2 linked regions of the Diceros bicornis minor genome follow. The protein of the gene in region 1 purifies or fractionates together with the protein of each later gene. This does not show direct contact. Links are inferred from orthologs where the notes say so. Each region holds a gene or a part of one and is shown in the gene's direction. Other genes may lie near its edges. The genes, in order: KMT5C and CBX3.

Evidence for each region.
Region 2: the proteins of KMT5C (region 1) and CBX3 purify together in Homo sapiens (affinity purification with western blotting; 3 studies listed by BioGRID and IntAct, with this or other methods). This does not show direct contact. The link is inferred for Diceros bicornis minor from reciprocal best matches to the Homo sapiens genes KMT5C and CBX3.

The regions. Positions count from the first base shown.
Region 1 is NC_080773.1:33,334,301-33,350,532, forward strand, and holds the start of KMT5C (histone-lysine N-methyltransferase KMT5C), read left to right. Parts: upstream 1-9,191; 5' UTR 9,192-9,261; exon of another isoform or gene 9,262-9,282; intron 9,283-11,702; exon of another isoform or gene 11,703-11,805; 5' UTR 11,806-11,941; coding exon 11,942-12,051; intron 12,052-12,210; coding exon 12,211-12,376; intron 12,377-12,382; exon of another isoform or gene 12,383-12,617; coding exon of another isoform or gene 12,618-12,644; intron 12,645-12,762; coding exon 12,763-12,872; intron 12,873-13,679; coding exon 13,680-13,843; intron 13,844-13,950; coding exon 13,951-13,970; intron 13,971-15,826; coding exon 15,827-15,963; intron 15,964-16,057; coding exon 16,058-16,232. UniProt on the Homo sapiens protein: Histone methyltransferase that specifically methylates monomethylated 'Lys-20' (H4K20me1) and dimethylated 'Lys-20' (H4K20me2) of histone H4 to produce respectively dimethylated 'Lys-20' (H4K20me2) and trimethylated 'Lys-20' (H4K20me3) and thus regulates transcription and maintenance of genome integrity.
Region 2 is NC_080742.1:51,181,965-51,198,457, forward strand, and holds the start of CBX3 (chromobox protein homolog 3), read left to right. Parts: upstream 1-10,607; 5' UTR 10,608-10,711; intron 10,712-10,894; exon of another isoform or gene 10,895-10,988; intron 10,989-12,132; 5' UTR 12,133-12,160; coding exon 12,161-12,184; intron 12,185-15,089; coding exon 15,090-15,232; intron 15,233-16,493. Other genes in the region: HNRNPA2B1 (heterogeneous nuclear ribonucleoproteins A2/B1), read right to left, coding at 1,909-1,970, 2,700-2,822, 3,084-3,203, 4,482-4,544, 5,250-5,330, 5,407-5,508, 5,660-5,870, 6,202-6,348 and 3 more.

The DNA.
Region 1 (16,232 bases):
GCTGCTGTAAAAAAAATTCCCACAAATCTGGTGACTTAAAACAACAAAAATTTGTTCCCTTAAGGTTCTGGTGGCCAGGATTTCGACATCAGTTTCACCTGTCGGCAGGGCTGTGCTCCCTCAGAAGGATCTGTTCCTTGCTTCTTCCAGCTTCCGGTGGCTGCCGGCGTTCCTTGGCTGCTGGCATTCTGTGGCTTACAGCTGCCAGCATTCCTCCAATCTCTCCTCCTTCTCCTTTGTGCAGGTCTCTGTGTCTAATTGCCTTCTGCCTCTCTCTTATATAGTACATGTGATGGCATTTAGAGCTCACTGGGACAATCCAAGATAAGGTCCTGCTCTCAATTAAGGTCCTTTACCTTAATCATGTCTTTTGCCGTATAAAGTAATATTCACAGGTTCCAGGGATTAGAAAGTATGTATATCTTTGGGGGTCATTTGTCTACCATACCATCCATCCAACTATACATGCACAAACACATACACGCGCACTTCTTTCTCTCTCCACCCATCCATCCATCCATCCATCCATCCATCCATCCATCCATCCATCCAAGTTCTGGGAGCTAAGAACACACAGTTGAGCCCTCAAGAGGTTTCAACCTCTGGAGGAAGCAAAGCTATAAGGAGACAGGGACAATGGCCATGTGACTGAGATTGGTTACATTGAGCAAATATGTAAATCTACTGAGCTGGCCATCTCTGCTACCTGCCACCTCTGTGTTCCCACCCCTTACTACCTCCACACTGGGAAAAGAAAGGAAGATGGGAAGAGAATGGCCCAAACATTTTTCATTCTCCTTAAATCTTCCATCCCACTCTCTCCCTTCTCACTTCCAATCCATGAACATAGCATATATCTCCTCATTCATTTTGATCTTCTTTAAGGTCTCTCAATAAGGTTTTACAGATTTTCTGTGAAGAGGTCTTGCACATCTTTTGTTAAATTTATTCCTTGGTGCTGGATATTTATAAATGCTATTGGAAGCCGTATTTGTTTAAATTTTTATTTTAGAAATGTGTTGATGGGGGCCGGCCCGGTGGCGCAAGTGGTTGAGTGCGTGCACTCCGCTGCGGCAGCTCGGGGTTCACCGGTTCGGATTCCGGGCGCGCACCAACGCACTGCTTGTCAGGCCATGCTGTGGTGGCGTCCCATATAAAGTGGAGGAAGATGGGCACGGATGTTAGCCCAGGGCCAGTCTTCCTCAGCAAAAAGAGGAGGATTGGCAGATGTTAGCTCAGGGCTGATCTTCCTCATACACACACACACACACAAAAGTGTGTTGATGATTAAAGAGAAAATGGTCAATGTAGTGGACCTGAGTTGGCTATTATGCTTGCGAGGTTGGCCTTTTGTTGGTGTCCTGGGACTTGGCTGTCCAAGTGTTCTGAGTGGCTCACTGTGCCTGGATTGTTTGTGCAGACTGTGTGGTTTATGCTGAATGCCTGCTTTCCTTCTGAGAATCTGGAATTTTGGTATGTGCTAGGCAGACAGTGCCTACGTGATTGGTCACCAATAAAAGCCTTGGGCGCTGAGTCTCCAGTGGGCCCCCTTGGACAAAAATATCACGCACATGTTGCTGCATTTTTGCTTCTGGAGGAAGAATGAGCTCTGCGATCCTCATGGGAGGGAGAAAGCATGAGGAAACCCGCACATGATTCTTCCAGACTCCACCTGTGACTTTTCCCCTTATGATCCCACATCACTGTCGTAAAGCTTAGCCATGAGTCCAACTCTATGCTGAGTCCCATAAGTCCTAGTGAATTTCCAAACATGAGGTCGTCTTGGGGACCCCCGACACACAGGTAAATAGAAATGCAATTGATGTTCATATATTGATTTTGTATCCAGCAACCTTGCTAAATTCTCTCTTTAATTCTGATATTTTATCAGGAGCTTCTTTTGGATCTTCTAGGTATATAATCACATCTGTGACTAATGACGGTTTTGTTTCTTTCTTTTCAATTCTTACACCTTTCATTTCTTTTTCTTGCCTTACGACACTGGCTGTTTTCAGAACAGTGCTGAGTGCAGTGTAAGGGGGCGTTCTTGTCTTGATCCTGACTTGAAAGAAAAAGTTTCAGTGTTTCACCATTCAATATGAATTTGCTCTAGATTTTTTTTTACTGTGGTAAAATATACATAAGTGTTAGCTTTTAGCCACTTTTAAGTGTACAATTCAGTGGTATTAAGTACATTTACATTGTTGTGCAACCATCACCACCATCTACCTCCAGAACGTTTTCATCATCCCAAACAGAAACTTTATACCCATTAACCAATAACGCTCCATTTGCCCCTGCCCAAGCCCCTAGCAACCACCATTCTACTTTCTGTCTCTACAGATTTGACTATTGTAGGTACTTCATATAAGTGGAATCATATAATATTTGTCTTTTTGTGTCTGGCTTCTTTCACTTAGGAAAACATTTTCAAGGTTCATCCATGTTGTAACATGTGTCAGCATTTCCTTGCCACGTTTTGTTTTTTTCATTTATCAGTTGATGGATTTTTGGGTTAGTTCCACCTTTTGGCTGTTATGAATAATGCTGTGATAAATATTCGTGTACAAGTTTTTGTGTGAACATATGTTTTTATTTCTCTTGGGTAGAGACCTAGGAGTAGAATTGCTGGGTCATATGGTAACATCTTGAGGAACTAACAGACTGTTTTCCACAGTGCCTGCACCATTTTATATCCCCACCAGCAGTGCACAAGTTCCAACTTCTCAACATCCTCAACAGGGCTTCGCATTATCTGCCTTTTTGGTTATAGCCATCCTAGTGGATGTGAAGTGGTATCTCATTGTGGTTTTGATTTGCATTTCCCTAATGACCAATGATGTTGAGCATCTTTTCATGTGCTTATTGGCCATTTGTATACCTTCTTTGGAGAAATGTCTGTTCAGATTCTTTGTCCATTTTTCTTTTTCTTTTTCTTTTTTTTTTTTGCTGAGGAAGATTAGCCCAGAGCCAACATCTGATGCCAATCTTCCTCTCTTTTCTCTTGAGGAAGACTAGCCCTGAGCTAACATCTGAGCCAGTCTTCCTCTATTTTATATGTGGGTCACCACCACAGCATGGCTGACGAGCAGTGTATTTCCACACCCGGGACCCGAACCCACAAACCCGGGCCGCCGAAGTGGAGTGTGCTGCACTTAGCCACTAGGCCACGGGGCCAGCCACCTTTGTCCATTTTTTAATTGGGTTTTTTGTCTTTTTTAATATTGAGTTGTAAGTATTCTTTACATATTTTGGATTACAAATCCTTTATCAGATATGTGATTTGTGAGGATTTTCTCCCGTTCCATGGGTAATAGAGCTCTTTTGAGGGCACTCTGTCTCCTTTGGGATCAGACTTCCTTATTTGTTGTTATTCATTTAATCATTCAGTAAGTCTTTATCCAGTGCCACTGATGTGCTAGGCACTGCCCTTGACGTTGGAGACTCTGCCCTGAGCAAAACAAGGGTCCCTGCCTTCCTAGGGCTTATGTTCCAACTGGGGAGAAGGACAAAGAACCAGTGAACAGAGATATATGATGTCAGGTAGGGTAGGGTACCGTGCAATGCCAGCTTCATAGGCATGTGACCTATGTAGTCACCCAGGGCCCCACCTTGGTTTAATGCCTGCTGTCGCCATCTTGAATCTTAATAATTTTTGAACAGGGAGCTCTGCATTTTCTTTTTGCTCTGGGACCCACAAATTATTATGTAGCTTGTCCCGAGACTATGAAGCAATACAGCAGAGTAAGGCGATGGCTCGGGTAGGTGGGGTCTTCCAGCCAGGGCGTGAGGGAAGGTCACCCTGAGGAGGTGACATTTGAGCAAAGACCAGAGGCTGGTGAGAGAGTGGGCGGGGCTTTCTCCGCAGAGAGATTGGCAGGGAAAGACCTTGAGAAGTGGAAAGTTTGGCTTCCAGCAAGAAGGCCAACGGGACTGTGACAGAGTGAGTGATGGGAGAACAGTTAATAAGTTAGGTCAGAGGAATAACGGGGGGACCATTGTAAGAACTTCAGATTTTCATGTAGGTGTAGATCAGTTAACAATAGCTGCTTAAGACAACGATAAACGTTTATCATTTCCCACAGTTTCTATGGGTCAGGAATCCAGGAGTGGCTTAGCTGGACAGTTCTGGCTTGGGGTTGTTCCTGACTTGCAGTCAAGTTGTCGATCGATGGGAGCATAGTCCTCCGAAGGCTTGGCTGGTTTGGTTCCAGACAGCAGGATTGGTTCCAGGGTGGCTCACTCACCTGACTGTCAAACTGTTGGCAGGAAGCCTGAGTTCCTCTCCAGCTGTTGGCACAAGACCTCAGTTCCTTTCGGTGTGCACTTCTCCACAAGGTGGCTTTAATGACCTCTCGACATGGCTCTGAGTTCCCCCAGAGGAATGATCCCCAAGAGAGTAAGGTGGAAGCCACAATGTCTTTGATGACCTAGCCTTCGACATGCCAACGTTTTTGCACTATCCTTTTGGGTACACAGCTCAGCCCTCCTCAGTGTGGGAGCAGCTACACCACAGTGTGAATCCCAGAAGGGGATGTGGTCACTGGGGGTCATCTTGGAGGCTGGCTACCAAGGTGTGAATCCATTGCAGAATTTTGAGCACAATGATGATGATGATGATAATGATGATATAGATGAGACACAAATAGATAGATAGAGATGTACATGTGTGTGTATGTGTGTATATGCATAGGTATATAGATAGATAGATATGTATATAAATTACCGTATAGCATGTAATACTTATATTTTATTCTATTATTATATACATTTTGTTATTACACAAATAACATATGAAAACAGACAACTCCCGCTTAACCATTTATTTTTTTAAACAGTTTTTATTATTTATTTATTTATTTATTTATTTATTTATTTATTTATTTATTTTTTGTGAGGAAGGTCAGCCCTGAGCTAACACATCCATGCTAATCCTCCTCTTTTTTCTGAGGAAGACCGGCTCTGACTGACATCTATTGCCAATCCTCCTCCTTTTTTTTTTCTCCCCCAAAGCCTCAGTAGATAGTTGTATGTCATAGTTGCACATCCTTCTAGTTGCTGTATGTGGGACGCGTCCTCAGCATGGCCGGAGAAGCCGTGAGTCGGTGCGCGCCCGGGATCCGAACCCAGGCTGCCAGTAGCGGAGCGTGGGCACTTAACCGCTAAGCCACGGGGCCGGCCCCAACCATTTATTTTTTTTCAAGCTTTGTTGAGGTACAATTGACAAAAAAATTATATGTGTTTAAGGAGTACAACACGATGGTTTGAATGTGTATATATTGTGAAATGATTACCACTATCAAGCTAGTTAACACATCCATCCCCTCACATAGTTACCCTTTTTGTGTGTGTGTGCGGTAGGAACACTTATGATCTAGTCTCTTAGCAAATTTCAAATATACAATATATTATTTTTAACTATAATCACCATGGTCAACATTACACCCCCAGTACTTATTTATCTTATAACTGGAAGTTTGTGCCCTTTGACCAATGTCTCCCTATTTCCCCACCCTCCAGCCCCTGGTAACCACCACTCTACTCCTCAGTTTCTATGAGTTTGACTTTTTTTTGGATTCCACATATATGTGAGATCATGCAGTATTTGTCTTTCTCTGTCTGATTTATCTCACTTAGCATATTGTCCTCCAGGTTCATCCATGTTGTTGCAAATGGCAGGATTTCCTCCTTCCTCATGCCTGAGTAATATTCCATCATATATACATGTGTGTGTATATATACACCACATTTTCTTTACACATTCATCTGTTGGTGGACACTTAGGTTGTTTCCATGTCTTGGCTATTGTGATTAACGCTGCAGTAGACATGGGAGTGCCACTATCTCTTTGTGATAGTGATTTCATTTCCTTTGGATATATATCCAGAAGTGAGATTGCTGGATCATATGATAATTCTATTTCTAATTTTTTGAGGAAACTCCATACCATTTTCCATAGTGGCTGCACCAATTTACATTCCCACCAACAGTGCACGTGTTCCCTTTTCTCCGCATCCTCTCCTCAATCATTTAATTTATATATACGTGTAAATAGATATCCCTTTCCCCTCAAAATATGATCATCCTGAATTTACTGTTTTTTTCTTTTCTTTTCTTTTCTTTTTTGGTGAGGAAGATTGGCCCTGATCTAACATCTGTTGCCAGTCTTCCTCTTTTTTGCTTGAGGAAGACTGTCCCTGAGCTAACATCTGTGTCAATATTCCTCTATTCTGTACGTGGGACGCCACCACAGCATGGCTTCAAGAGCAGTGTATACGTCCGCGCCCAGGACCCAGACCCGCAAGCACCGGGGCTGCCAAAGCAGAACACGTGAACCCACCACTACGCCACGGGGCCAGCCCCCTGAATTTACTGTTTTATAACAAGTTTCTCCCCTTGATCATAAGCCATGCACCACCTTGGGAGTTAGCAAGCCCACAATGTCCCTCCAGTGTGTGAACATATGGTCTGAAGAAGCCACCTTCAAAGGCATCTTCCAAGGCATGCTTCTCAAACATTCTGGAGCATTCCAATCACCAGTCTGGGTAATTCTGATTAGGAGGTCTGGGCTGCAGCTGGAAATTCTGCATTCCTACCAAGCGTCCACGTGATCCTGCTTGATGCTGCTGGTCCACAGGCCACACTTTGGGTAGCAACGTTCTAAAATGACTGATTATTAAATACTCAACCAGGCTCTTCGGAGGCTGAGCCTTAGAATCTATATTTCCACTACATTCCCGAGGTGATTCTTCATTTTTTTCTCTCTCTCTTTTTTTTTTGTTAGTGGTAAAATACACATAATGTCAAATTGACAATTTTAACCATTTTAAAGTGTACAATTCAATGGCATTAGGTACATGCACCACGTTTTGCAACCATCACTACTCTCTAGTTTCAGAACTTCTTCATCCAAAGAGGAAACCCCACATCCATTGTCAGTCACTCCCCAGCCCCCCAGCGCCCAGCCCCTGACAATCACGAACCTGCTTTCTGTCTCTCTGGATGTACCTATTCCGGACATTTCATAGAAACGGAATCATCCCATATGTGCCTTTCGCGTGTCCGGCTCCTCTTGCTTCGTGTGCTAAGAGCACAGTAACCGTTAGGTATCGCTGTTATTCCATCTGGTGGATGTGCTGTAATCGGTCCAACCAATCTCCTACTGTTGGACATTAAGGCTTTGCCTATTTTTTAAACAATGCTGAGACAAACATCTTTATGTATAAATATTTAACACTTGTTCAGTTATTTCCTCAGAATAAAACCCTGGAAGTGAAATTGGTGGGTCAAAATTTTATTCGTATTATGAAATATTTCTGACATGTAGAAAAAGAACAGATAATGAATATAGTGAATTCATGGTTTCCACCTCCGGGCTTGAAAAAAAAATTACCCGTAACAATGTCCTACGTAACCTTCCTGATTGCATTCTTTCCACGGCATCCCCAGGGGTCACCACTAGGGCTCCCCCTCCCTCTGTCATGCCTGTGCATGTTTGTAGACATTTACAACATCCACACACAACCCTGTTTTACGTGTTTTAAAACTTCCTGCATTTGACGATGTAGACTTCTGCAAACAGCAACACGACGCTTTGGGGTTGTCGGGGTTGATGTATGGAGCACCGGTTCACCCTCTTTCACTGCTGTATGGTGTTCCTCTGTATGAATATGCCATGATCCATTTATCCATTCTCCGTGTAATGGACATGTAAGTCGTTTCCAGTTTTTCACCGTTACAAACACTACTGTCGAGCTTTCTTGTGCTTGTCTTTTTGTTCACATTTGCGTGAGTTTCTCTAGGGTGTACCGGCGAGTAGAAGGGCCGTACTTTTAAGATTCAGATACTGATAGGACTTTTCGGAGAGCTAAGGTTTTTATAGAGTCCTTTCTGCTTGCTGACTTCCTTTCTTTGGGTGAGGCTGTTTCTCTCCTTTGGAGCTGTGGCCATTCTGATCCAGGGGAAAGGGTCTCTCAGGGCTGGAAGTAGTCCTAGTGGGGAAGGAACAGTATGAACAGAGGGTGGGAGACTGGAATCACGGATGGAGGACACCTCGGAGTGTGTTAAGGAAGACCCCTCAGAGAGGGACAAGTGTGGTTCTTGTTTTATAGATGCCCAGAGACGGCAAGCCACTTCTTCAACGCCACAGAGCGACGCAGAAACCATGAGCTTCATTCATTCATTCATTCATTCATTCATTCATAACATATTAACGATGCACCTACTCCGTGCCACGCATTGTTCCAAGCGTACAGGATATATAGCACTCAGCAAAACAAAGACCGCCTGCTCCAAGTGCGGAGCTTATTATTCTGGGCGTAATTATGATGAATGGCTAATTATGTTTGCCTGTAGGATTGGAGGGGAGGGTGATCCCAATTGGGGGGGTGTCCCATGGGAGCGCCCCATAAGTCAGGGCTCTCTCCAAAGCCCCCACTTCTCAGTCTCCCTGTTTCCAACCCCTTCCCCCACAGAATGTTATTGTGGGTACTCCCAAAATTAAAGGGGTACTTGGGGAAAGAGAAGGTGGTCTGGGAGGGAGGGAGAGAGACAGCCCTTTGTATCCGGGGAGAGTTGTCAATAAAGTTTGGTCGCCGTGGCAACCGCAGGGCTCGCGGGGCGGGGAGGGGCTGGGCGAAGGTGCGCGCGCATTTACCACCCCCCACCGCCCCTCCGGCCTGCTCCTGCTGTCTCCCTGCTGCGGCTGAAGGTTTCACCAGAGAAAGAGAATAGAGAGGTCGCGACTCTACGGTGACCGGCTCAGACCTTAGCCAATGGAAGGATGAGCCGTTCCAAGGCCAGCCAATCACATACGGGTTCTGGAGCCGGTGGAGCCCGCCCTCTTTCCGCTTGGACCCGAGTAACCTGACCCAAACCCAAGTTTCGCCTGGAGCGACGGCGCTTTCGGCCAATGAGGGCGTCGACTTCGGGCAGTGGGCGGGGATAGTCTCCATGGCAGCGGCGGAGGGACAGCGGTGGGAGCCATTGGCAGCAGTTGGCGGCACTTGACGGCAGCGCGGGCGTGGCGGGGTTTTGTGGGGGCACTGACGGGGGTCGGGCGGGGAGGGGCAGAGTGGGGCTCGACCAATGGGAGCGGAGCGAGCTGAGGAGTGGCGGCGGCCTTGGCCAATGGGAGGCCGCGGTCGCCGTGGCGGGGCGGGCGCGGCGGGGCAGACGGGAGGCGCGGCGACGGTGTCTGACGCGAGCCGGAGGAGGCAGTGGGAGGTGGTGGCGGCGGCGGCGCGGGCGCCTGAGGAGGAGGTGGAGGAGGAGGAGAAGCGGGTGAGGGGCGGCGCGGGGCCCGACCTCTGAGCACCCTCTCGGCCCCCGCCCCGCGCCGCCTTGGCTCCTGGTCGCCCCCAGCCCCGACTGCCCCCCGCCCCACCCTGTCCCTCCTCGTGTCCAGGCGCCTAAGTCTCCTGGCTCTTCGCGAGCCTCAGGCTCTCTCGGCGCCCAGCCCCTTCCCTGTGCTTCCTCACCCAGGCCTCTTGCCGCTCCCCGGCCTTCCTCAGCTCGCCCTCTGACTCTCCCCTCCCCTCCCCGGACCTCATTGCCTGCCCAGGCCCCTGTGCGCTTCCCCCACTCCTCTCCCTGGACCCTCACTGCCCGCCCAGGCCCCTGTCCGCTTCCCCCAATGCCCTCCAGACTTCAGGCCCTTCCCCTGCACCCTCACTGCCCGCCCAGGCCGCTGTCCGCTTCCCCCACTGCCCCCCGGACCTCAGGCCCTTGTCCTGCACCGTCACTGCCTGCCCAGGCCCCTTTGCGCTTCCCCCACTCCTCTCCCTGGACCCTCACTGCCCGCCCAGGCCCCTGTCTCCCCCTGCTCCTCTCCCTGGACCCTCACTGCCTACCCAGACCCCTGTCTGCTTCCCCCAGTGCCCTCCGGACCTCAGGCCCTTCCCCTGCACCCTCACTGCCCGCCCAGGCTGCTGTCCGCTTCCCCCACTGCCCCCCGGACCTCAGGCCCTTCCCCTGCACTGTCACTGCCCGCCCAGGCCCCTTTGCGCTTCCCCCACTCCTCTCCCTGGACCCTCACTGCCCACCCAAGCCCCAGTCTGCTTCCCCCACTCCTCTTCCTGGACCCTCATTGCCTACGCAGGCCCCAGTCTGCTTCCCCCACTCCTCTTCCTGGACCCTCAGTGCCTACGCAGGCCCCTGTCTACTTGCCTCACTCCCCTTCCTGGACCTCAGGCCCTTCCCCTGGACCCTCACTACCCACCCAGGCCCCTGTCCGCTTCCCCCATTGCCCGCCAGACCTCAGGCCCTTCCCCTGGACCCTCACTGCCCATCCAGGCCCCTGTCCGCTTCCCCCACTGCCCCCCACACCTCAGGCCCTTCCCCTGGACCCTCTCTGCCCATCCAGGCCCCTGTCCACTTCTCCCACTGCCCCCCAGACCTCAGGCCCTTCCCTTGGACCCTCACTGCCCACCCAGGCTCCTGTTTGCTTCCCCTACTTCCCTCCCTGGACCTCAGGTCCTTCCCCTGGACCCACACTACCCACCCAAGCCCCTGTCTCCTTCCCCGACTCCTATTGCTGGACCCTCACTGCCCACCCAGTCCCTCCCTGGACCCCAGACTCTCTCCTCCGGCTTTCCTGTGCTCCTCCCTGGATCCCCAGAACTACTTCTGTCCCTCTCTGCTTCTCCAAGCCCTGTTCTGGATCCCTAGGCCCACTTCCACCTTCTCAGGACCCTCCGTGGACCCCAGGTCTCCCCTCTCGCCTGCCTGGGCTCCCTCCAGGACTCCCAAGCTTTCCTGGAGCCCTGTCTCCCCCAGCACCTCTGTGGACCCCAGGTCTCCCATGGCCTGCCTGGGCTCCCTCCAGGACCCCCAAGCCTTCCTGCAGCCCTCTCTGTCTCCCCGGGCTGGCCCCAGGTCCCTCTGTGAGGTCCCTGTGTTTTGTTTTTACCCACATGCCCCCCTGCAGCTTCCGCTCTGTCCCAGGGCCCTCCCGCAGCGCCCCTCTTTATCTATCCCCAGCCTTCCTGTCTTTTAGACCCCCTTTCTCAGCCACTCTAGCTCCTGACTTCTCTTTAGTCCCCCTTCCTTGCTGTCCTCTGTGGACTCTGTGAAGCACCGTGGTGTGGGTGCCCAGCAGGCCCCCCGCTCTCAGGGTTAGGGGTCTTGTTTTGTTCCGTTTTGCCAATCCCCTTCTTTCTCCTCTTTTTATGGACCTGTTCTGCCTCTCCATACCCTTCTTTTTCTCTCCCCCCTCCCCCGCTTTGTCCTCCAGCCCCCCCCTGGCCCCTGGAATCCTTGGAGAGGGAGCAGGTGCCGGGATCCCTCCTCAGCTCTCCCTCCCCTCACCCCCCTCCAGGCTGCCTGGGGCTTCACCCAGAGCCTCCCTAGACTCCCTCCTGAGGGCTGATGGGGGGTGGGGTGGAGGCCAAGGCCGAGCCTGGAGAGAGTAGGGGTGGGCAGAGGAACCGTCAGTCCCGACGGGGCGGGAAGCCTTGGCTTTTTCCTTGGTGAGGGCCAGAGGTGGAGCTGGGTCCCCCCTGACTCCCACCTCTTGCAGCGCTAAGCCTTTAGGGTTATCCGAGACTGCCAATTAATCAGCCTTCCTGGGGCCAGTAGGGATGCGTGTGTGTGGGGGTGTGGTGTAGGGGTGTGAGGGAATCTGCGTGTGTGAGTGTGTGTGCACGTGGGGGGGGGGGTCATGTGGTGGGGGATTTGAGGAGATGGAGATACTAATGATGGAGACTAGATTTCTTTGGGGGCTCCCCCACTGTCAGAAGTACCTGTTGCATGTCACCTTCACTGAGAGCCCGTGAAGTCAGCATTGCTATTCTCCCTGACGTGTAGATGAGAAGACGGAAGGGCTTGCCAGAGTCCCGCACAGCTTATAAGTGGCCCGGAGCAAGCGCCCGCCGGGGGTGCCGCCCCTGCCCCTGCTTTGCCCCCTCCACTCGGCCAGAGGCAGCATGGTCCATGGGGCAGCATGGGGCCCGACAGAGTGACAGCCAGAGAACTGTGTGAGAATGACGACCTGGCCACCAGCCTCGTCCTGGACCCCTACCTCGGCTTCCGCACCCACAAGATGAACGTCAGGTGAGGCGGCCTGGGGAGAGGGCTGGGGGATCCCTTGCTTCCACCGCCACCCCTCAGCCCCGTCCTCCCCTCAGCTCCTAGTGGGGGTGGGGGCGGGGCCCGGGAGGGCCCGAGGGAGTAGGCCAAGGTCCCGGGACCCAGGCATGCCCTCTCCCCCAGCCCCGTGCCCCCCCTGCGGCGACAGCACCACCTGCGCTCGGCGCTGGAGGCCTTCCTGAGGCAGCGGGACCTGGAGGCTGCGTACCGGGCCCTGACGCTGGGAGGCTGGATGGCCCACTACTTCCAGAGCCGGGGCCCACGGCAGGAGGCTGCCCTCAAGACCCACGTGAGGGCGCCCTTCCTTCCCCGCCCTCGCCCGCGTGTTCTCCTGTCACCTCAGCCTGTCCCAGGTCCTCCTCCCTGTGGGGCAGACTCTCCGGAGCCCTGGGCTCCGTGCCCCTCAGCACAGCCCCCTGGGACTCCCTGACTTCCTAGCCGTTGGGACCGTCTGAGGCGAGGCTCAGAGAATCCTGGGAGAGGAGAGTTGGGGGCCCTCTGAGATGGAGTCCAGCCTCTTCACTTGACAGATGATGAAGCTGAGGCCCAGAGGGGAAGTGAGTTCCTTGAGACCACACAGCGAGTCAGTGGCAGAGCAGGACTAGCACCCAGGAGAGAGGGCGGAGGACGACCCTGCCCCACCTCCTTACCCCACCCACCGCTCACCTCCCCCAGATCTATCGCTACCTCCGCGCCTTCCTGCCTGAAAGCGGCTTTACCATCCTGCCCTGTACCCGCTATTCCATGGAGACAAACGGGGCCAAGATTGTGTCTACCCGAGCTTGGTAAGAGGGCAGAACTCGCAGCCAAGGGCCCCACGCCTGATGGGAGGCACCCCTCCCCAGGGGCTGCTGGCAGAGGAGACCCCTGTCCCTTCTGGAGGAGATGGGGGCGTCACTGAGGGGACAAGGAGGAAACCTCTGGTGGCGTCAAGGCCACGAAGATGCCAGAGTTCAGGAGGTTTCCTGCAGAGAGGAAGGAGTCGAGGGCTGGTTCTGAAGACCCTCCTCACCCACTGTAGCCCTGCTAGGGGATGCGACCCTAGAGTTCCCGGGGCTGCCGGGAAGGACTGACCTTGTGCCCACGACCGTGCAGGCCTGTCTTCATCCCGACTGAGCCCCTGCCAGTCTGGGTGCGGGACAGGGCAGAGAGCAAGATGGCCCTGCCAGCCACTCAGTGTAGCAGGAGGGCAGGGGATAGCCGAGTAAACACGCAGGTACTGACCGCAGCTGCTCAGGGCTTCAGGAGCTGGCTGGGGAACTTTGCGAGTGTTCTCGGGAGCCAGGCCTCAGCTGGGATCCGAAGGATGAGCTGGGGGGTCTGGTGAGGTGAGGGGGCGAGGACGGGGCTGCAGGAGGCGCAAGGCAGCGGGGAGTTGGGGCTGGAGGAGCTGAGGGCCTGCTGCCGTGGCTGGAGTGGGTCAGTCCCCCGGGCAGGTGTAGAGGCCGTGGTGAGTGGATTTGCGAGACTTCGGAGGCGGACGACGCTGGCCTGCGGGAGTCCCAGGTGCCTCCCAGATGAGAAGCATCTGTCCCTGGCTAGGGTGGTTGGGAAGGTGCTGCTTGTAGAGCTGTGGCCTGGCCTCTTGGCAGGAAGAAGAATGAGAAGCTGGAGCTGCTGGTGGGCTGCATCGCGGAGCTGCGGGAGGCCGACGAGGGGCTGCTGAGGGCCGGCGAGAACGACTTCAGCATCATGTACTCGACCCGCAAGCGCAGCGCCCAGCTGTGGCTTGGCCCTGCCGCCTTCATCAACCACGGTGGGGGCCGTGGCGGGGGCAGGGCCGGCGGGGAGGGGGGCACCCCGCCCTCTCCCTCTCCCTCCACTCACCCAGTCTCTTCTCTCCCTGGCCCCGGCTGGCTCCAGACTGCAAACCCAACTGCAAGGTGAGACCTGGGGACCCCCAGGAGTGGGCACGTGGGAGATGAGGTGGCCCGGGGGAGGGGCCTTCTGGTCAGTGAATAGCAGGAAACTGTCCTGCGTCTCCCCACCTGACAAAGCACTCACTCACCCTGGCTGCCCGTTCGCTGAAGCAGGTGTTTGTGCCTGTGGCCCTTGGAGAGGGGAGGGAGGAAAGGGCTCTGGCTAGAGGCACACTGGAACCCGGGCGGCCACCTGGTGGCAGCGTTCTTCCCTCTGAATCTGAGCTGGGGGCTGGGCCCGTTTGAGTGGGGCGTGTGGTGATGGGAAGACAGAAAGAGCCCACTGCCCGCAGCTGTGATAGCAGGAGGCAGAGCATTTGAGTGGCAGGAACCTGCCCATGCATGCCACCTGGGCTGAGCCCAGAGAGAGCCCTGGAGGCCGGCTTCCAGGCAGAGGGAGCAAGGCGGAGGAGAGGCCAGGTGCACTGCTGGTCCTGTGTGGAGGAGCAGGGAGCGCGTGGGAGCCAAGGAATGGAGGGGAGGTAGCCCTGGAAGGCCTTGGGTGCACACCCTGCCAAGCGTGGGCCTCGTCCAGCTGTTTTTGGGAGCCCTGAGGTGTGACGAGGGGGTCCGGAGCTCAGACTCTGGAGTTAGAACTGGGTTTAGGTCCTGGCTCTGCCGCCCTCGGCCCTGGTTTCTCGTCTCAGACGGGAAGCGGTTAGGACTTGCCTCCCGGGACAGCTTGAAGGTTAGGTGCACAGTGCACACCGGCGTTGGTCAGCATTCCTGGGACTCTGTAGAGCTGTTACGTGGATTTCGGGGGATAAGGTGTGGCCCTGGCCTGGCCCCGCGTGCAGACACTGGGTGAGACAGGAAACCAGGCAGGGCTCCGTGAGAGGCTGTGACCAGGCATGTGCTGGTCTCCTCGGGGCACAGGAGCCAGTTGTCTAGCGGGGCAGCCCTGGGAGGCCGCATAGGAGTGACGCCAGAGGCAGGCGTGGAAGGAGGAGTAGGATTTTCCTAGGTGTTGCAGGAAAATGGGGGCACGGCAGGACATCCCAGACAGGGCACATGGCGCTGGAGGGCCAGGAGGCGGGACAGGCACCGCGACTCCTGTCTCCTGTGACTCCCGCGTTGGGTGCCGTGAGTGAGCTTGCGTCTGTCCCACGGAAGTTTCCACCGGGTGAATAATGGGGACTTGGTTTTTAGATGGCTCTGGCAGCTGGTGCGGAGGAGGCTGGCAGGAGGGAGCGGGACTGGAGGCAGGGCGGCCACGAAGAGGCTGGTTTATAACCTAGTGTGTAACGAGCGAGAGGTGACAAGGGGCTCCAGAAAGGGTCTTGGGGACAGAGGACAAAGACGTAAGACACTGCATGCTTGAGAGGTGCTGGCCTGTTGGCCTGGGGTCAGGCGGGTGGGGGGCGAGGCCCACTCCCAGGCGCGTGTCAGGCTAGAGTGGACAGCCAGATGGATGGAGGTCATGCCCCTCCCAGGCGGGGAACGCAGCTGGAGCAGGCGGGTGTGAGGGGCCCGTGGGGCAGTGATCCCGGACTGGGGCTGCGGAGTGGACACAGGCCTCCAGGAAGGGGGGTGGCCCGAGGATAGCAGGGAGTGGGGGAGTGGGTTAGGATGTGTCAGAGGGGGTGGAACTTGGCCGCAGAAGCTGGAGGGAGAGTGCAGGAGGGAGCGGTCACTGTGCACTGCCAGGGTTGGGTTAGGTCACCGTCCTGCGGGGAGGGGTGGGAGCCAGCCAGTGGGCGGGTGGTCGGGGGGGGGGGGGGGGGTGCTGTTCAGAGGATAGGAGGCTGCCTCCAAATGGCTCTTCCCCGGGAGCGGGGTGGGGGGCCCCCAGGACAGGCTCTGAGCAGCCCAGCCTCCAGTTTGTGCCCGCAGATGGGAACGCGGCCTGCGTGAAGGTGCTCCGGGACATCGAGCCGGGCGACGAGGTGACCTGTTTCTACGGCGATGGCTTCTTCGGTGAAAAGAACGAGCACTGTGAATGCTACACCTGCGAGAGGTGTGGGCGGGAGAGGGAGGTGGAGTCTGCCGCCGGAACCGGAAATGCCTCCTGGGCCCATTCCTTCCTTCCTCCTGTCTCCCGCCCACCCCAGGAAAGGCGAAGGGGCTTTCCGACTGCGGCCCCGGGAGCCCGCGCCTCCGCGGCCCCTGGACAAGTATGAGCTCCGGGAGACCAGGCGGCGACTGCAGCAAGGCCTGGACGGCAGTGTCCGGCAGGGCCTGCTGGGGCCGCGGGCCTGCGCCCACCTCTCCCCGCTGCGCCGGGAC
Region 2 (16,493 bases), on another chromosome or scaffold:
CCAACCTACATCTTTCCTATATTGTAGGGGATTGGGGAAGAATTACCAAATTGAAACCCAAGTATTTAGCACTGGATACATAGAAGATTTATAACGTAGACAGGCACTTTATTCATTAAAGTATAAACTATTATCTGAAAATTTAGATTCAACCATTATGCCCCTACCTTTTCCTTAGCCTGATCCTGATAAGCATGTAAAGCTAGAACAACCATATCAACAGAACATGTAACAGAAGAACACAATGTCTTTATTTTTAATAAAAAATCCTAGTTCACTCAAAATGCTTGATCCAAGAAATGTGAATACACAAGGGTGTAACGATGGGAAATTTCATGATTCATTGAACTTGCAGCCTAACTGTTACCTACCATTTTACTACCAACACCACTGAAGGAACCAAGAAAAGCTTTATTAATGATCACTTGGCTTGCCTCAGCTGTTGAAATGAAGCACTTTACAGTCTTTGTGGCAGCAGAATATACTTGTCCATGGTTCATAGCAATGCTAAAATTCCAGCAGGGAAAAAAATGATATGTTAAGCACCTGAATCTTCATAGAGGGGGAGGGGGTGGGGGAAAGAAGGAAAAAAAGGGAAAAAACAACCAAAATGATTTAAGTAAATGACAGATTGGAAAACAGGGTTTATAAAATTATTCTCTTGAGTTTATAAATTGTTAAACTCAATTTAATTTATAGCTATGTTAAACTACATTAAGAATCACTATACTGAAAGACCATTTAAGAGTATTAGTTTATCTTTTGGGGAGGAAAATTAAGAAAGGAAAAGTAAATAAGATCTTACCTAAAGAAGTTTAACTGAAGCTTAGAACTATTTTGCTCTACACCCTCAGCTTTCGTTGGCATCCTTATAAACTACTGTAGTTTAAAGCTTTGTAGAAACAGCACAGTTTTTTAAGACTGGCTGAACTTAGTAGCCGTCAAGAGTTCTCTTGTACTAGACCTGTATCCCTGAAGAGTACCTCGCTGGGGTTATTTCCTTTCCTTGCATTGAAGAAGCAGCATCTAAAAGATCTAAAAAGGTGTTTCTCCTTGCAGAGATATCCCTTAAGTTATCTAGATAATTTAATCCTGATGAATTGCAGACAACACACTTATATCTGACCAACATTTATCTTACACAAATATAACAACAGCTTTGCAATGGACCTTAATTATACTACCCACTCCTTAACTTATTTAAAATAAAAAGTCTATAATTACACAATTTCCTTTAGAATTATTTTATTAAATCATAAATGTACAACAGCTTCTTAACTCTACACACGCACTTAAATTTTTTTAAAGGAAAAACGTTATGTCTTATTACACCATGATCCTGGCTAATAGCTTTTCAAAACTTTGAGAAAAATCTTAAAAAAGGTTTCACATGTCACCTGAAACTTACAAATTTAACATTATCAAAGAAGGAATGCTTCTACACTCTTACAAAGACCACTAGAAAGAAACAACAATTAAAAAGCTAAGAAACTGTCTCGAAGGCATTTTTTTTTTTTTTTTTTTTACAATCCTTCCTCCACAGTAAGGTAATGTTATTAAATAATCCAATCCATTCACAAAATGGCTCTCTGCATCTGCTCTGGTGTCTTCTGCCATATCACTGCATATTTATGCATGACTGAGATAAGTTTCCTTAACATTGTTATTTCGATAACCTGAAGCTGTTCTGTTACCTCTGGGCTCTCATCCTCTCCTATTTATACAGTGAAGCCTGTTTCAACAGAAGTAAAGAGTAAAAAAAAAATAGGTTATGAAATTATCCATCTAACCAGATTTTAAGGAAAGATAACATGATCCTAAAAAGCTTTTACTCCTGGCAGCTAGGTCTCCCAAGAAATAATAACATAAAACTCAAAAGACACTTACCCATGGCAAATAGGAAGAAGCTCAATATCGGCTTCTTCCTCCATAACCCCCACTTCCTCCACTGCCTCCTGGACCATAGTTTCCTAGAATTGTTGGAAGAGCAAGAGAAAGCAAACTTACTTCGATTTCCCATGATTACCTTAATACTATAACTGATTCTATTTTATAGCCATATACTCTCTAAAACGAGATCATAACCCATTGTTTCTAGTTAAGCTAATTACTTAGGAGATAAGTTATCCAGATTCATAGCTATGATAATTTCATCCTTTAAAATTAGAAAACATTTTAACAATGCTTTTCTTTTAGAGAGTTCTCCACCACAATCATTTGGTTAGAAAGGAATTAAAAAAAAAAGTATACCAAGCACAAAAGGCAAAAGAAATCCGGTCTTACTAAAAACTTTCTCAAGAGTAACAAACAATGGTTTGAGCTTATTTACTATAACTTTAAAAGAGACAACTCATACAAATTTATACCACTTGCAATGTGCTCAGCAATTTTATTTGGCTGCCTCTTAAAAAAAGGAGCCAAGAAAAGGAAAACAAGAACCCCCACCCAAAATATTAACCTACTTTCCCAACTCCTAATTATTTTACATTACTGAACATCCCACCTTGACCACACCAACTCCAAAAACTGATGTTAGACTTGTTTCCTTCCGTAAAATTTTTATTTCAGTAACACTATATATGGTGGAAGTGTTACCCAAACATAAATAAACTAACAATTACCATAGTATCTTTCCTTCAAGTCATGCAAGACCAATCCTTTAATAACACAAAATAATTTTAAAGAATCTAATAAATTACCTCCACCATATGGTCCCCCCATGTTCCTGCTACCACCAAAGTTTCCACTCTTCATTGGACCGTAATTAGAAGGCTGCTGGTTATAATTTCCAAAATCATTGTAATTTCCACTTCCGTAATTTCCTGTGGGGGAAAAAAATGGAATACTAGCTTTGCATAATGAACCTCAGAATACAATCAAATATTAAGCCAGCAATACATGTTAAGTATTTAGGACAAATCTCCCACAAAAACAAATCATTAGAATAAATGCAAAACACCTATCTACAATTCTACAATTTTTAAAGACAACTATTGACAATATTAAAATGAAAAATCTCACGTGTTAAAAGTCATTCATTTCAATCCAAAATCCCACATAAAGGTTGCAGGTGAATTTATTACCTCCTCCATAGTTGTCATAACCACCTCCGTAGCCCCCACCCTGGTTGCCATATCCAGGTCCTCCACCACCATATCCTCCTCTTCCTCCTCCATAACCAGGGCTACCTCCAAAATTGCCACCTATTATAAAATAAGCCTTTAAGTAATTACTTAGTATTTTCAGTGCCATTTGAACTGTCTTATCACACCCATTTCCAGCTTTCCAAAACACTTATTTATAGTAAAATATTTGTTCTGTGAAATCTTTTCTAGAATAGCCTCAAGGGCAGAATAGAGTATCTTTGGTAAACATCTGAGGGCAGGAAGTGCCTACCCACAACCAACTGGATAAAACCTTTATAGAGAAATACCTGTAATGCCACAGCTCTCCTCTAAATCTAAAGATATTAAGGGTGCTCCTGAAGGCATCCTGAAATACTATTTATATTTTGTGTAAGAGTTGTGGGGGCAGACAAGAGGCGAAGCCTAGTGAGAGAAAGTAGAAGAGCCACATCCTCCTACTGGTCCAAAAGATCGCAGCTCACGTTTCCCTATGAATTACCATGTCTCTTAAACAACATGCCCAGTACCCTCTTTCTGAGTAGAAATGGGGGGGAGGACCAGAAATTAGCAAACTTGCATGTAATTCAAAAAATTAAATTGGTACAGGTAGTCTCAAATTACATGTAGTTTAAATACAAGAACTCATCTTTCTCATAACACCCAATTAATATTTAGATTTCAAAACAAAGTTGGAAACGATGCGATGTAGGAGTAACTTAAGTCATGCCTAATGAGTGGTAAAGACAGAAAACAGGTCTATCACTAGCTCAGAGTTTTAATGTCCCTTTCTTATTAGGACATTTGTCACCCAAGTATCAACCTTTTTTGTACTCCAACAAAAGATACATCTAATGTATCATGTGATATAATAGTGGCTCACAACCTTAGCTGGACCCAGGAGCACACTTATGTATTTTGGAAAAGTTCCTTTGGTGACTTTTTGGATGTTCTCCTGTGGGACTTATCTTGCTAAGAGCCAAGTAAGACACAACTGCCCTTATATACACTCCCCTTAAATGCTTATCTTGGTCATATCCAGTATTCTTTATTTTTCCAGGAAAACAGACTATATAAAGTATCACATCTATGTCCAATTCTTTTGCTTAAGAAACCAAGGGATAACATGATGCCATCTTTAAATTCTCATTCAAAATCCACTCAAATGATTCTGCAACCTATACTAACAACTATAAGTACACTCTTGCTTTAAGCTGTACAACAGCTAAGATGTAAAGTAACTGTAAAGAAAGAGTCATACATTGAGAGAAATTTCACAAATACACTCAACTAGGCCAACATACAGTGTGATTAACTAAGTCTTTAAGTCACATCAAACGAAACGCAGAAGAAACTGACCTCCAGGTCCTCCTCCGTACCCATTATAGCCATCCCCAAATCCACGACCACTTCCATATCCATCTGTTAGAGGCAGAAAAAATATATTATATCCTGTTCACCCTACTCGATTCCTCACCCTGTTTTCCTCTACATTCTCTATTAGTTATCTCTGGATGAAAATTATTAGGAACCATCCCCCTTACGCTGGAAAACTGGTGTTATGTGTTTATTCTTAAAAATAAACACACAAAAGGGTGTAACTAAATCTCATTATCAGGATAACTGCCTAATTTTGGGGCTTGAACTTGGCAAGTCTCAATTTAAGAGACTCCACTTATTTATACTTAAGAGGGACACTGGACCGGGATGAAAATTTTCCTATTGGCGTCTTTATATTAATTTAGATAAATATATCTCAAGCCTAAAGCAAAAAACTTAAGATACAGACCTTTTTAAACCCACAGGCAAGCCTCTATGGTATTTTCACTCACTATTCAGGAGAATCCTCATAATTTTTAAGGTGGTTAGAATGTCATTTTAGCTTTTTTAAGAAAATTGGAGATCATAAAAGGATGTGGACAATTCACTGTCTTTGATTACAATTTTAAGAATATCTTCTTTAACTATTTTCTCTTGCCACATCAGAACATCCTACCAGGATACAACCTATTTAAAAAGCCTTAAGGATAACTTTTTAAAATTAGGTTGTACTTCCTGATTCTAATCAAAACTTAATCATATTTTTAATCAAGTACATTCACCCTAACACTTAGAACTTGAACTTACCAGATCCTCCTCTGAAGTTACTTCCAGGTCCAGGTCCAAAATTCCCACCGCCACCACGAGAATCTCCAAAACCAAAGTTGCCTACAATAAATTTTCTGGTTAGTAACAAGCACCGATACAAATAATTTTTTTTTTTTTTTACTGGAATTGAAGTTACCTCCTCTTCCACTTCTAGAACTTTGGACTTCTTGCATTTCTTGTCTAGACAAAGCCTTTCTTACTTCTGCATTATGACCATTGATGGTATGGTATTTCTGCACTGAAATGAAAAATTCAGACTCCATTAAGTCAGCATTCTATAATAGTAACCAACTCATAAATTAAAGTTTACCTTTTATTAAAATTGTAATGTTAACATATGCAAAATTTAACATATGAAGCAGTCACACACCTAATTCTTAGACACTTACACACAATCTTATCCACAGGATCATGGTCATCAAAAGTAACAAATCCAAAACCTCTTTTCTTTCCCGACTGCCTATCAGTAATTATCTCAATAGTATCAATTTTTCCATATTCCTCGAAATAATCTCTAAGATGATGTTCCTCAGTATCTTCTTTAATTCCACCAACAAACAGCTTCTTTACAGTTACATGAGCCCCCGGTTTTCCAGATTCCTGAAACAGTGGGAGAAAAAAAGGTCACCCGCATAGAAGAAACCAAATATGATTGAAAGCACACTATGTGGGTACCACAGATGGCTTCTACTCTACGATAAAATACCAAGCAAAGCAATGGCTTGTAAATAAGAATGTAGTCTTTTGAAAAATACTTCTGATAAGTCTAGAAAAATCAAAAATACAGAAACCCAACATAGCTTTAATGAGGAAAAAAATTTTCAGCTAGATACACAGCATCTAGTTAGTTCTTCCAAAAACTACATTCTAATTTTCAGTGGGACAGAATTTTCTTCACATTTATTGCACAAAGAAATTATATTTTGCTCACCTCTCTTGCAACAGCACGTTTGGGCTCAACCACTCTCCCATCAATTGAATGAGGTCTTGCAGCCATGGCAGCATCAACCTCAGCCATAGATGAAAAAGTTACAAAACCAAATCCTCTTGATCTTTTGCTTGCAGGATCTCTCATTACCTATACGACCAAAGGGGAAACGTTAGCATTTGATCTCATTACTTGTGTTATGAACTAGCAGTACGAATTGATGGCTGATTTAAGTGATTTTTTCCACAACTCACTTAACATTTTAAAAACAGAAGCTCAACAGCTGAAGGACTACTATCTGTAGGCACTTTTACATTTAACGTACCACACAATCTGTAAGTTTTCCCCATTGCTCATAGTAGTTCCTCAAACTTTCTTCTGTGGTTTCAAAGCTCAAGCCACCAATAAAGAGTTTACGGAACTGTTCCTTTTCTCTCTGCAAAGGAAAACACCATTTCAATTTTTATTTACATTTTCTCTTTGTATGCAGGAAATTAAATTCTTAAATATGAGGTGACCTGCTGGCAGAGTACCTTTTTCCTCTCCAAAGGAACAGTTTCTAAAGTTTTCTGGGGGGGAAAAAAAAAACTTACATCAAATTTAAACCATATGTTAAACTGCATATTAGTTGTGTTACACCAAAAAAATTGCCTCAGCTGAACTACACAAGTTTCAAAGTCATTAATGCTTGATCTAAATTTACTTGACATTAAATTATTTCAAACAAATTTATTATCACTTATTTTTAAAAATACTTTCTGAAGAGAAAGAAGCAAATCTACTCCCTGGTCATTGAAGGGTTAAAGGATTCTCATCAAAATTAGCATTCAATCCTATATCCCACAGAGAAGTTAAAGTTAACTTTTAAAAGCTCAGTTGAAATCTTTTTTTTAAACATAAAAACTGTTGGTTCCTTACTTATAACTCATAGTTTACCATTTACTTCTGGATTCAGTATATCTGAAAAGTGACATTTTCCCCTCATTGCTCCCTCTGGTGGTGATTCTAATGCATCTCATCAAAAAAAAAAAAACCCCCTGGTAAAGATCATTCTTTCCCATACACCAACTCTCGATTAGGGAAAAAAATTCAAACCTTCAGTATATGCTCCAAAACATCCTTAAAATTTACCTCTCTTCTGACCAAGGCAGACTTTTTTAATGACCGTTGGTGTCTAAAGCTTCAAGTTTTAACATAACTGACTTTTTGTGGGCACCCCCATGTTTGGTTATTTAAATGACAGTACAGAAACAATCCGATTATTGGACCAATAACCATAAATACAATGAATGTAATCATTTTCTCCCAAAAACCACAAAAACGTTTAAATGACCACTGTGACTATTCAGTAGTTACATATTTAACTATCATTTACACTTCAATTCATTTACCAAAAAACCCGAAACCTCAAGTGTATTTAACTTAGTGGCCACCTGGCAAACTACACAAGTTACATCTAATTTCACAAATAAAAAAGAAAAAAGGCTAGGCTGAAATTTTTTAATCCCTATAAACCAGCAAGCAATTATGTTGCATTAATAGCCCTGTATTTGGGACTCTCAGTTAAAGAATGCATCATTATAATTTCCAGGTGACTAGGTTAAAAAATTAAAAATATTCAGAAACCCAATAAATCATAACGTCCAGGACAATCTGCTGTAAGTGTATAATACAAATTAAAATGTAAAATATAATTTTCAATACAACAGGCGATAACTTATTCCCAGCAAATAGCATTACAGCTCTCAACCCACAGTTCTATGGAGGTTTCTCCTTCAACGCATGATATTCTCCCAACAGCTCAAAAAATACAGCGATAAGAAACAATTTACAGATTTTCTTCCTACATAGTTAACTATTTTCAGGATTCTGAAAAATTTTAAAAGATTAACAAACTATTAAACTAGCTCCCGAGATGTTTACTTAAAACTACCAAAATGGTTAATTATACGGCATATTGATATTTGGATTCTTCACTTTACACCAAATACTGTCAGTAAACACGTCTTTTAAAACCCAAATTACGGAAATTTTAAAAAGCACATCTACAACAATTTTTACACATCACCAACAAAAGGCAAAAACTCATTACTTACCTCTGCTTTTTCCAAACTTACCCGATGTCCACTATCGATTACAAACAAAGTTATTTTTTAAGCGTGCTTAGGGTCAAAGAAAATACTCAGGTAGACCCCCTTCGCTTGAGACCTTATGCTTATCAATGTAATGATCAACCACGATTGCAAACATAAATGAGAAAAGTGACAAAGTTCAAATACAGAGCGGCCTAGCCTAACACAGTTCTGTATACAGCAATACACGCACTGAAGGACTGAGCCATGTTTTAACCGAAGTACCACTAAGAATAAACTCAATTTTTTTCTTCACTCTCCTCAAAATTTCTAACATCATTTACAAGGATCCGTAGTCTTATCCAGTAAAGATCACATTTCCCAGAAAAAATAGTATTTAAAAAAGGAATAAATTCTACCATTCTAAGGGAATCCTTCAGGAAAAAGTCCCCCCCACCTCCTTCCCCGCTGCCACCCACGCAGTCGGTAGTAATCTGACGGTTCCAAATTCTGACTTATTTCTCAAGTTTCCTGCGATTCAACTGTCTTTTTCATCACTGCAGGCCCAAACAAAACCGTTACTCAAAGAAACAGGACTGGAAAACAAAATGTCTTCTTTGTACGATGGCTCGCTTGAAACCGGCCCCCCACCCTCGCTCGCTTTACCTCCTCGGACGCCGCGCGCCCGGGCCCCGGAGGAACCCCCCCGCCCGCTGCTCGCTGCGGCTTCTGGACGCAATGGCGCCATTTCATCGAGGGGAAGGGAGGGAGCCTCTAACGAGGTGCGCAGGACTTTAAAGATCCAAGCTCACAAAACCCTCGGAATCCACCTCGAAACGGCATGAAAACAGCCCAAGAAGAAAGAAAATTAGTTAACCACTTCTCTTCTTCGGTAAAAGAATCAAACTAGCAGAATTCAGAGGTCGAAAAGAAAAATGCTGCGAGGAAGGAGAGAAATGAAAATGGCGGCCGCCAAATCCGGTTCCCGGGAGAGAGGGGGAGGGGAAGCTCCGCAGCCTCGCTCACGCGGACCCGAAACTCGCCGAAACGCTCAAACGGGGGCCGCCGGGGCCCCCCAATCGGCGTGCTTCACGAGGGGAGTAAGAATTGCCGCCTCGGCGCTCCGCTTTCACTACCGCGGGCCGCGTCCGCCATGTGGAAGTTCCCCATCCCCCACCCCCAGCAAAGGGAAATGGCGCCGGGAGGCTGAGGGTGGGGAAGGTGCTGTACAATCAGGCCTCCGCTAACAGCCCTCTTCGAAAATATCCTGCGACCAACCGCTTCTTAAGTGGCCCGATTTCACTGCCGCTCTCCGTCGGAGGCGGGGGGGCCGACTTCCACCGAGGCGCCAACGGCCTCGCCATGCCCTTTCCAATAACTCATTGATTTCAAACCCGTTACCTCCATCGCGGACTCAGTCGCTTCAGCCCGATTTCCCGCAGCCGAGCGAGATGAGAGAGATCTCCGCGGACGAACACGGACCGGACTCGTCCTGGCGCTGTAGTGAGAACTGCCGCTGCTCGAGAAACAACACCGCTAAGAGCACCTCCGCACAAGACCCGGCGTTGCTGCTACTGCCGCTAGAGCCGCTGCCGCCGCTTTTCTAGAACCTTCCCCCCGACTAACGCGTCTTCCCCTACGTCAGGCCGTTGCGTAAACGCCCTAACCGCCGCCAATGGCGGGAACGCTCTACCTCCTCCTTACGCCAAGTACGTACTCCTCCCCCCCTTGCGGCCAGCGGTGGTGCTTGACGTCACTTGCGTAAATGGGCTCAGTGAATTGCGGAAGGCGCGAGTCCTGCGTATTTCTCTCTCTCCGAATTGGGTCCAGCCCCCGCCTTAGCGCAGGGCAGGTAAGAAACGGTCGCGCAGTTTGAAATGAACGCTGCCGGGAGGAGCTTAATCCGCAGCTCTCAGGTCCAGCCCCCTCAGCCCAGGAGGTGGTCCCTGCAGCAACGCCGTTGATAATCCGCCCCCCCTCGCCCCCGTTCTCCCGCCTTAAAAATCTTTGTAGCCTCCCCCCTGCGTTTTCCCTCCCCCACCCCCTTCCCCTGCGCCGAGGACTGACTCGGCCCCTTCCGGAAACACCCGAAGCGACTGTAGTCAACAAATTACACTTCACCCTCCACCAACCTAACCCTGGCCGACGTCTTTGGGACTGACCCCTCGGGTTCAGAAAAGGTCTTTGCAGAGGGTGGTCCGAAAGGGGCACTCTTTCTCAGTGTCCGATTCCCCCCACCCAAATTTATCTTCATCCTCTCACCCCCAACGTTTGGAGGCACGCACCCCCAGGGGCGAGGAAGTGGGCGGAGTCCGGTTTTGGCGCCAGCGGCTGCTGCTGCGAAGCAAAAACGCCTCCGCCGAGAGGACTCTGGACAGCGTCCTCGCCCCTCCTTCCCTCTTCCTCCCCTCCGGGGACCACCAGGCGCCACGCCGCGAACGGTAAGTGCCGCTGTCGCCACCGCTCTCCCCCCCGCCCCCTGGGCCCGGGCTCCCGGCGGGCGCGGCGCCGCGCGGCCCCTCCCCCCCGCCGGGCGCGCGCCCCCTGCCCCGCCCCTGGCGGCCGCCCGGCGTGGGCGGTGCCACCCTCCCCCCCCCCCGGCGGCCGCCCCGCGCGCTGCTCCCCAGCCCCCTCCCCCTCGGATGTGGCTGGAGCTGGAGGCGCGCAGGGCCGGAGACGCTGCAGACCCGGGACGCGGAGCAGCTCGGAGGCGGTGAAGTCGGTGTCTTTCTTTCTCTCTAGTTCTCACTCGGTGGTGGCGCTTAACATACCACATGCGCCCCAGCTCCCCACCCCCTGGCCCCTGCTTCCCGTCCGACCCCGAGTCGGGAGCTGGTGGGAAGGAGCGGAGAGGCGAGCGGAGACCCCGCGGCGGGCCTGGCGCTGCGCCGACGCCTGTAGTTAAGTGGGGGACGAGACTGTCCCCGAGAAGGTGGAGAGTCGTGGCGACAGTCGCCTTATTTCTAGACAAAGCGCATTTTCCTCTCCCCTCCCCCATCCCGGATCACGATGAGGGGCCCTCCTCCCCCTCCCGGGCTTGGCCGGCGACTGGGGCCTCCAGGGAGGGCGGTGCATTCTCCCGCATCCGCGCGGCCAGCTTCCTGGAGGCTGCGGCGGGCGCTCCGTTATGTGGCCGCCGCCGGGGGCGAGGCGCGAGCCTCGTGGCGCAGTGCCCTTGAGCCCCCGCGCGCGGCCTTTGTTTCTCCCCGCGGATGCGCTGACCACGAGGCCCGCGCTCCCGGGTGGGGGGCGGGCGCCCGGCGTTTAGGCCGCATTCAGCAGGGTGGGGCCTGGGGCTTGGGAGCATATGGACGTACCGAAGAGGTGACTTGTTTTCAAAAGTGGCACGAAATGGGCCTGAAGCATCTCAGTGTGTTTTTCTTTTAGTGTTTTAACTAGTGATTGGGAAGAGGGAGGGTTTCTAAGAAGAAACCAAGTTGGGATTACATAGGCGACTCTTTGGACTGTTAAGAGGTCTCGACGAAAAATTCACGGTAGTTTAGGAAATTGTCCGATTTTGAACCAAAATATTTGGCCATTTTGTAAAGAATACTGAATATGTATAAATGGCATTTGAATTGAAAAAACATATTTGTCTACTGTTTTTCGGCCAGCGAAGCTGTTTCAAGTCCCAATGACCTCAGTAAGGTTTTCTAGACTCGCTGTTAGAACACTGATATATTCTCAGGCATATTCTCTCTAATAATTTACGCAGGAGCTTAAATCTGCTTTTGTATGGATTTGTATACATGTTTGATAATATGGGCTACATAGGTGGGGGTTGGAATCCAAACAAAACTTGTATTTAGCTACCTTTTTTGTGTCGTGCAAACTTCCTTTTAACTGTCATGCGTTTTTCTAGTAATAGCTCTTCAAGTCTGCAATAAAAAATGGCCTCCAATAAAACTACATTGGTAAGTTAATGAAAACCTGAAATATGTAAGGATCTAACTCAAAATTTTTTCCCCAAAAATTATAACTTTGCGTCTCTGTGGTTCAGAAATTTACATCTATATGTATTCCCCAGTCCCTTCTCTCCCCAGTGTTGTTATGGGGAGAATTAGGGGCCAAAACGAAGTCGTTACATTGAGATATTTACTGACTTGCCTGGATAGTGTTTTAATTCATTGAAAGAAACCTAATCTTGGGAGGATAGCGCAATGTGAATTTTAATGAGTATTTTTATCTTGAAATACAAATGCACAAATTTATGTAACATGAAAGAATATGTTACAAGCATAGAGAAAGCAGTAAAGTCTTGTTGATTGGCATAATATTTTCTAAATCACTGTACTGAATTCTAGAGAAAGCAAGTATTTTCAGTATTGCCCAGTGTCAAAAACAGGCACCTTGTACACTTAGATTGGGGCAGAAAGTGAATCTTCCAAATTACTTTCATCACGTTGTCATATTTCAGACTTGCTTATTCTAAAGTCAGACGGGCCTTAAAATTAAATAATTGCAGTGTTCTGGTAATACACAAAATGAACACAATCATGTATGTCCAGGAAGGAGAAAAGACTCGATCTTTCAAGCAATTTTTGGTCTCTAGCAGTTTCTTAAATCCAAAGTTTGCATTCTCAGGCTTCATTACAAGTTCTGCAAATGTGTAAAAGCCATGTCAAGTTAGAAGTTTAAAAAAAACACGAAATTCAGTTACGGTTCCCACAGTATTTAATTCTAACACTGCGTTAATAATAATCGAAAGCATATAAAGGTGAGTGTTAATATCTAAATAAAGCAAAACATTTGGTTTTAGTTTGTATTGTCTGTTGGGTTTCACAATTAAAAGGGCAAGTTGGTGATTTTAATTTGTGCCATCATAGGTTTGCCCATTTAAGTCAAATTTCCTGGGAAACAAAAACAACTATAAAGCCTATGTGGTGAGTCTCTGTGGCACAAATGGTTCCATCAAAGCCATCAGTGGGAAAAGCTCTTAGCATGTTCTGTGCCCCCTCAGGATGGAAGTGTCCTTCAAATTCCATAATCAGTAAAGGAAAGTAGAGATAATAAATTGATTTTATGAACACCTGTGTTCAAGTATTGGTGGGGAAGGGAACTAGCTGTTCATGAGGCTTTGAGGATGAGTATAGATACAGAAAGCAAGCAAATAGATGATTCCATTAAAATTAAGTTGCTTTTGCATATAATTTGATAGTTTTCAATGTCTGTAACTTACTGGTATTTAAATATTCTTTTGTAGGGGATCACATATTGACAACTTTAAAAGTTTTTATTTGACTTTTCATTTTAAAATAGTGTTGTGAGATGTGTGCTATAATTTAAATGGTAAAGTGAATGAATTTTCTTTTGAAAAGAAACAAATGAGCCCTTGAAATTAGCTTGAGTGCCATAGTAGTAAATACTTCATTTTTTATGCCAATTTTTTTCTTAGTATTTTTGTCCTTTTCATTTTCTGTGTTTATTTTTGTCATCCTCTTTATTCTGTTAACCTCTTACCTTCATGGACATAGCTGTTCTGGTTTTCATCTAGGATCAGTATCTAATAAGCTTTTGTCTACACCAATTTTTCTCCACTCTTCCTACTACCATTCTTACTTGCTTTTACTGAACAGAAGCAGAAAGCTATCCGACGGGGTGCAATACCCAAGTATCTTGATTAATGGAAATTGTAAGGCCTGACTTGGAGATGGTATCCAACAAAATCAGATGTTTGCTGCATTTTTTTTAATTCCAGAAGATTTTTATTTCTTTGTGTGTATGTGTACCTCTAAATGACTACATGGTTTTAATGTCCTTTTGCAATCTTGAGGCATTGCTGTTAACTTATATGCTATATTGAGGGATGACTTTAGTAACTAGGCAATTAGGATTTTTTTTTAATAGCAGCTTTAAGATGAAATAATTTTAAAACGAACATAACATTTGAGGTTTTACCCCCTTAGTCTCTCCTAATTAACCATTTCTGTTTTCAAAACATTTATTCATTTTCAATCCTTGTAACAAATCTGAGTTATTAGAAAATGGCAGGTTGAGCCTGGTCTGCTTCTCTCAAATAGTGTTATGCAAGAAAGAAACTTAAAAACTTGTTTGAAGTGAATTTCGTTGGCTACCAGTTTAGACTCTTTCTCTTGAGAAATGAAGAAAGCAGGATTTTTTTCACAGAGAATAAAAATAATCCAGCATTTTGGCCTCTTGAAGTGACAGCATTATAGCTTTGTCCCAAGTGGTCAGTAATACTGTCTACAGAGATTATGGAAAAATAATCTGTCCTTTTTAACTTATTAAAAAGGTCTTCTTGGTTGACCCTGCAATTGATATCAGGATTCTGAACTGTGTTTTCATTCTGCAGTTCCCTTTTTTCTATATTGTTGAGGCTTTTAACGTTGCTGTTTGAATTGGGAAAGGGGTTCTTAGTGTTTGGGGGCTGTAGTTGTAATGGGTCTGTGGTTCACTTAGTAAGGCCTGTCGCTGCTACTTACTTTCCTCTGTGTCATCCTCTAATACTTTCTAGTTGGGGTTGCTGTGTTGTAGTTAAAATGAGTGAAAATTTGAGTAAATTTGGTCTTGTAGACTAGATAGAAATAAGAGTAGGAAAACATAACAGTATTTTCCAGATAGTGTTTTTGATTGTATTATTTCAGTGAAGGGTGGTGGGTGTTAGGCTTGAGCTAAAGCAACAGGATTAAGCATGCCTTTATTTTATTGATTGTCCAGTGACTTTTATCTTTTCAGAAGTTGTCTGTCCTGGGATATAGAAGTAAAAATTTAGATGTCAGATGCAACGATTAAGCAATTTAGCCTTTAAAATGTACTCAAAAATTAAAAAAGTTGTTTCTTAAATTTCTTTTGTTTTAGCAAAAAATGGGAAAGAAACAGAATGGAAAGAGTAAAAAAGTCGAAGAGGCAGAGCCTGAAGAATTTGTGGTGGAAAAAGTCCTGGATCGACGCGTAGTGAATGGGAAGGTGGAGTATTTCCTGAAGTGGAAGGGATTTACAGAGTAAGAAATCTCCTTTTATTGTATGTTTAACTGCACCTAAGTTGCATTTAAAATTTTTTTTTAGCCTGAGATCTTTTATCGGTTTTCACATAGGTGTCTTCAAATTTAAAGATACCTTTAATCCAGGGTATCTTGTTTGATATCTATTTAAAAAGAGCCAAGTCTTTAGCCCAGTGTTGTAACTAAGCAGATTTGAGGTTAGTTGATTACGTTGGAGAGTCAAATTTATAGAATTAGAGTGCAGTTTACTATGTAAGTAATGCATTTTAATGTAGTTGGATTTTGTACTAATTAGAATACCTACTCTACATACAGAGGGCACTAAAAAACATTGAAGCTATATGGTGTAGATTAGTGAATCTTAAACAGAAGTGCTCATAATCCAGGTCCTATGCTAGATTTATTGTATCCTAATCTCTAAAAAGTAGAATCTGGGCATTTTTTAAGCTCCCTAGTTCCTCATGTTCTTTATTACTAACTGCTCTCATAATCACTCTTGATAACGTTAGATGTATTGTAAGTAACTTACATGCAGAAATTTTACTCATACACTTACATTTATCATGTACTAATCTACTTGGATTCTTCTGCTTTATACCACCAAGACAGATCTAGGCTCCATGGGCAGTGACTGTTGATAATGGATAGGTGGAAATTGACAGCAGTTTTCTGAGCATGGTGGAGATGTGGAGTATGGTAGTCAAATTGTGATGCTTCAAATAGCTGTTATCTACTACTTCCCCCAACATTCACTTTTGAAGCCATCTCCATAGCAATTTGGGAATAATGAGTTGATTGTAAGATTTAGGCTTCCCTATTTTATCCTTCTAGTGCCCTTAGTTGACCCTAAGTATATATCATAAGTTCATAATTTACCACTAGAAGAATTTCCTGCAGATAGCAGAACCAAGGAAAAATAAGTCTGAACTATTTCTAAAGTAGATTTAACCAATTTGCCAAAGAATTGATTATCTTCATGTGGTAGACAGGCTTTTGTTTTTTGTTTTTTTTAAGAATCCCATGAGACATTAAAGTCTGTTTGTCTACGACCGACCCATCAAAACATTAGGAAACTACTCCTCTCTCTTTCTTCCCAAACTTAAGGCAACTAGTATGATTGAGAACCTGCTATATGCAGTATACTGTATTAGTTAATAATAGAAGGCTATAGTGAAACTACAGAACGGAGGCTCCACTTCAGCTCCTTTGTCCTCCTCTACCCTCTAATGTAGATTTGCCAGTTTTGGAGTCCTAGGATATC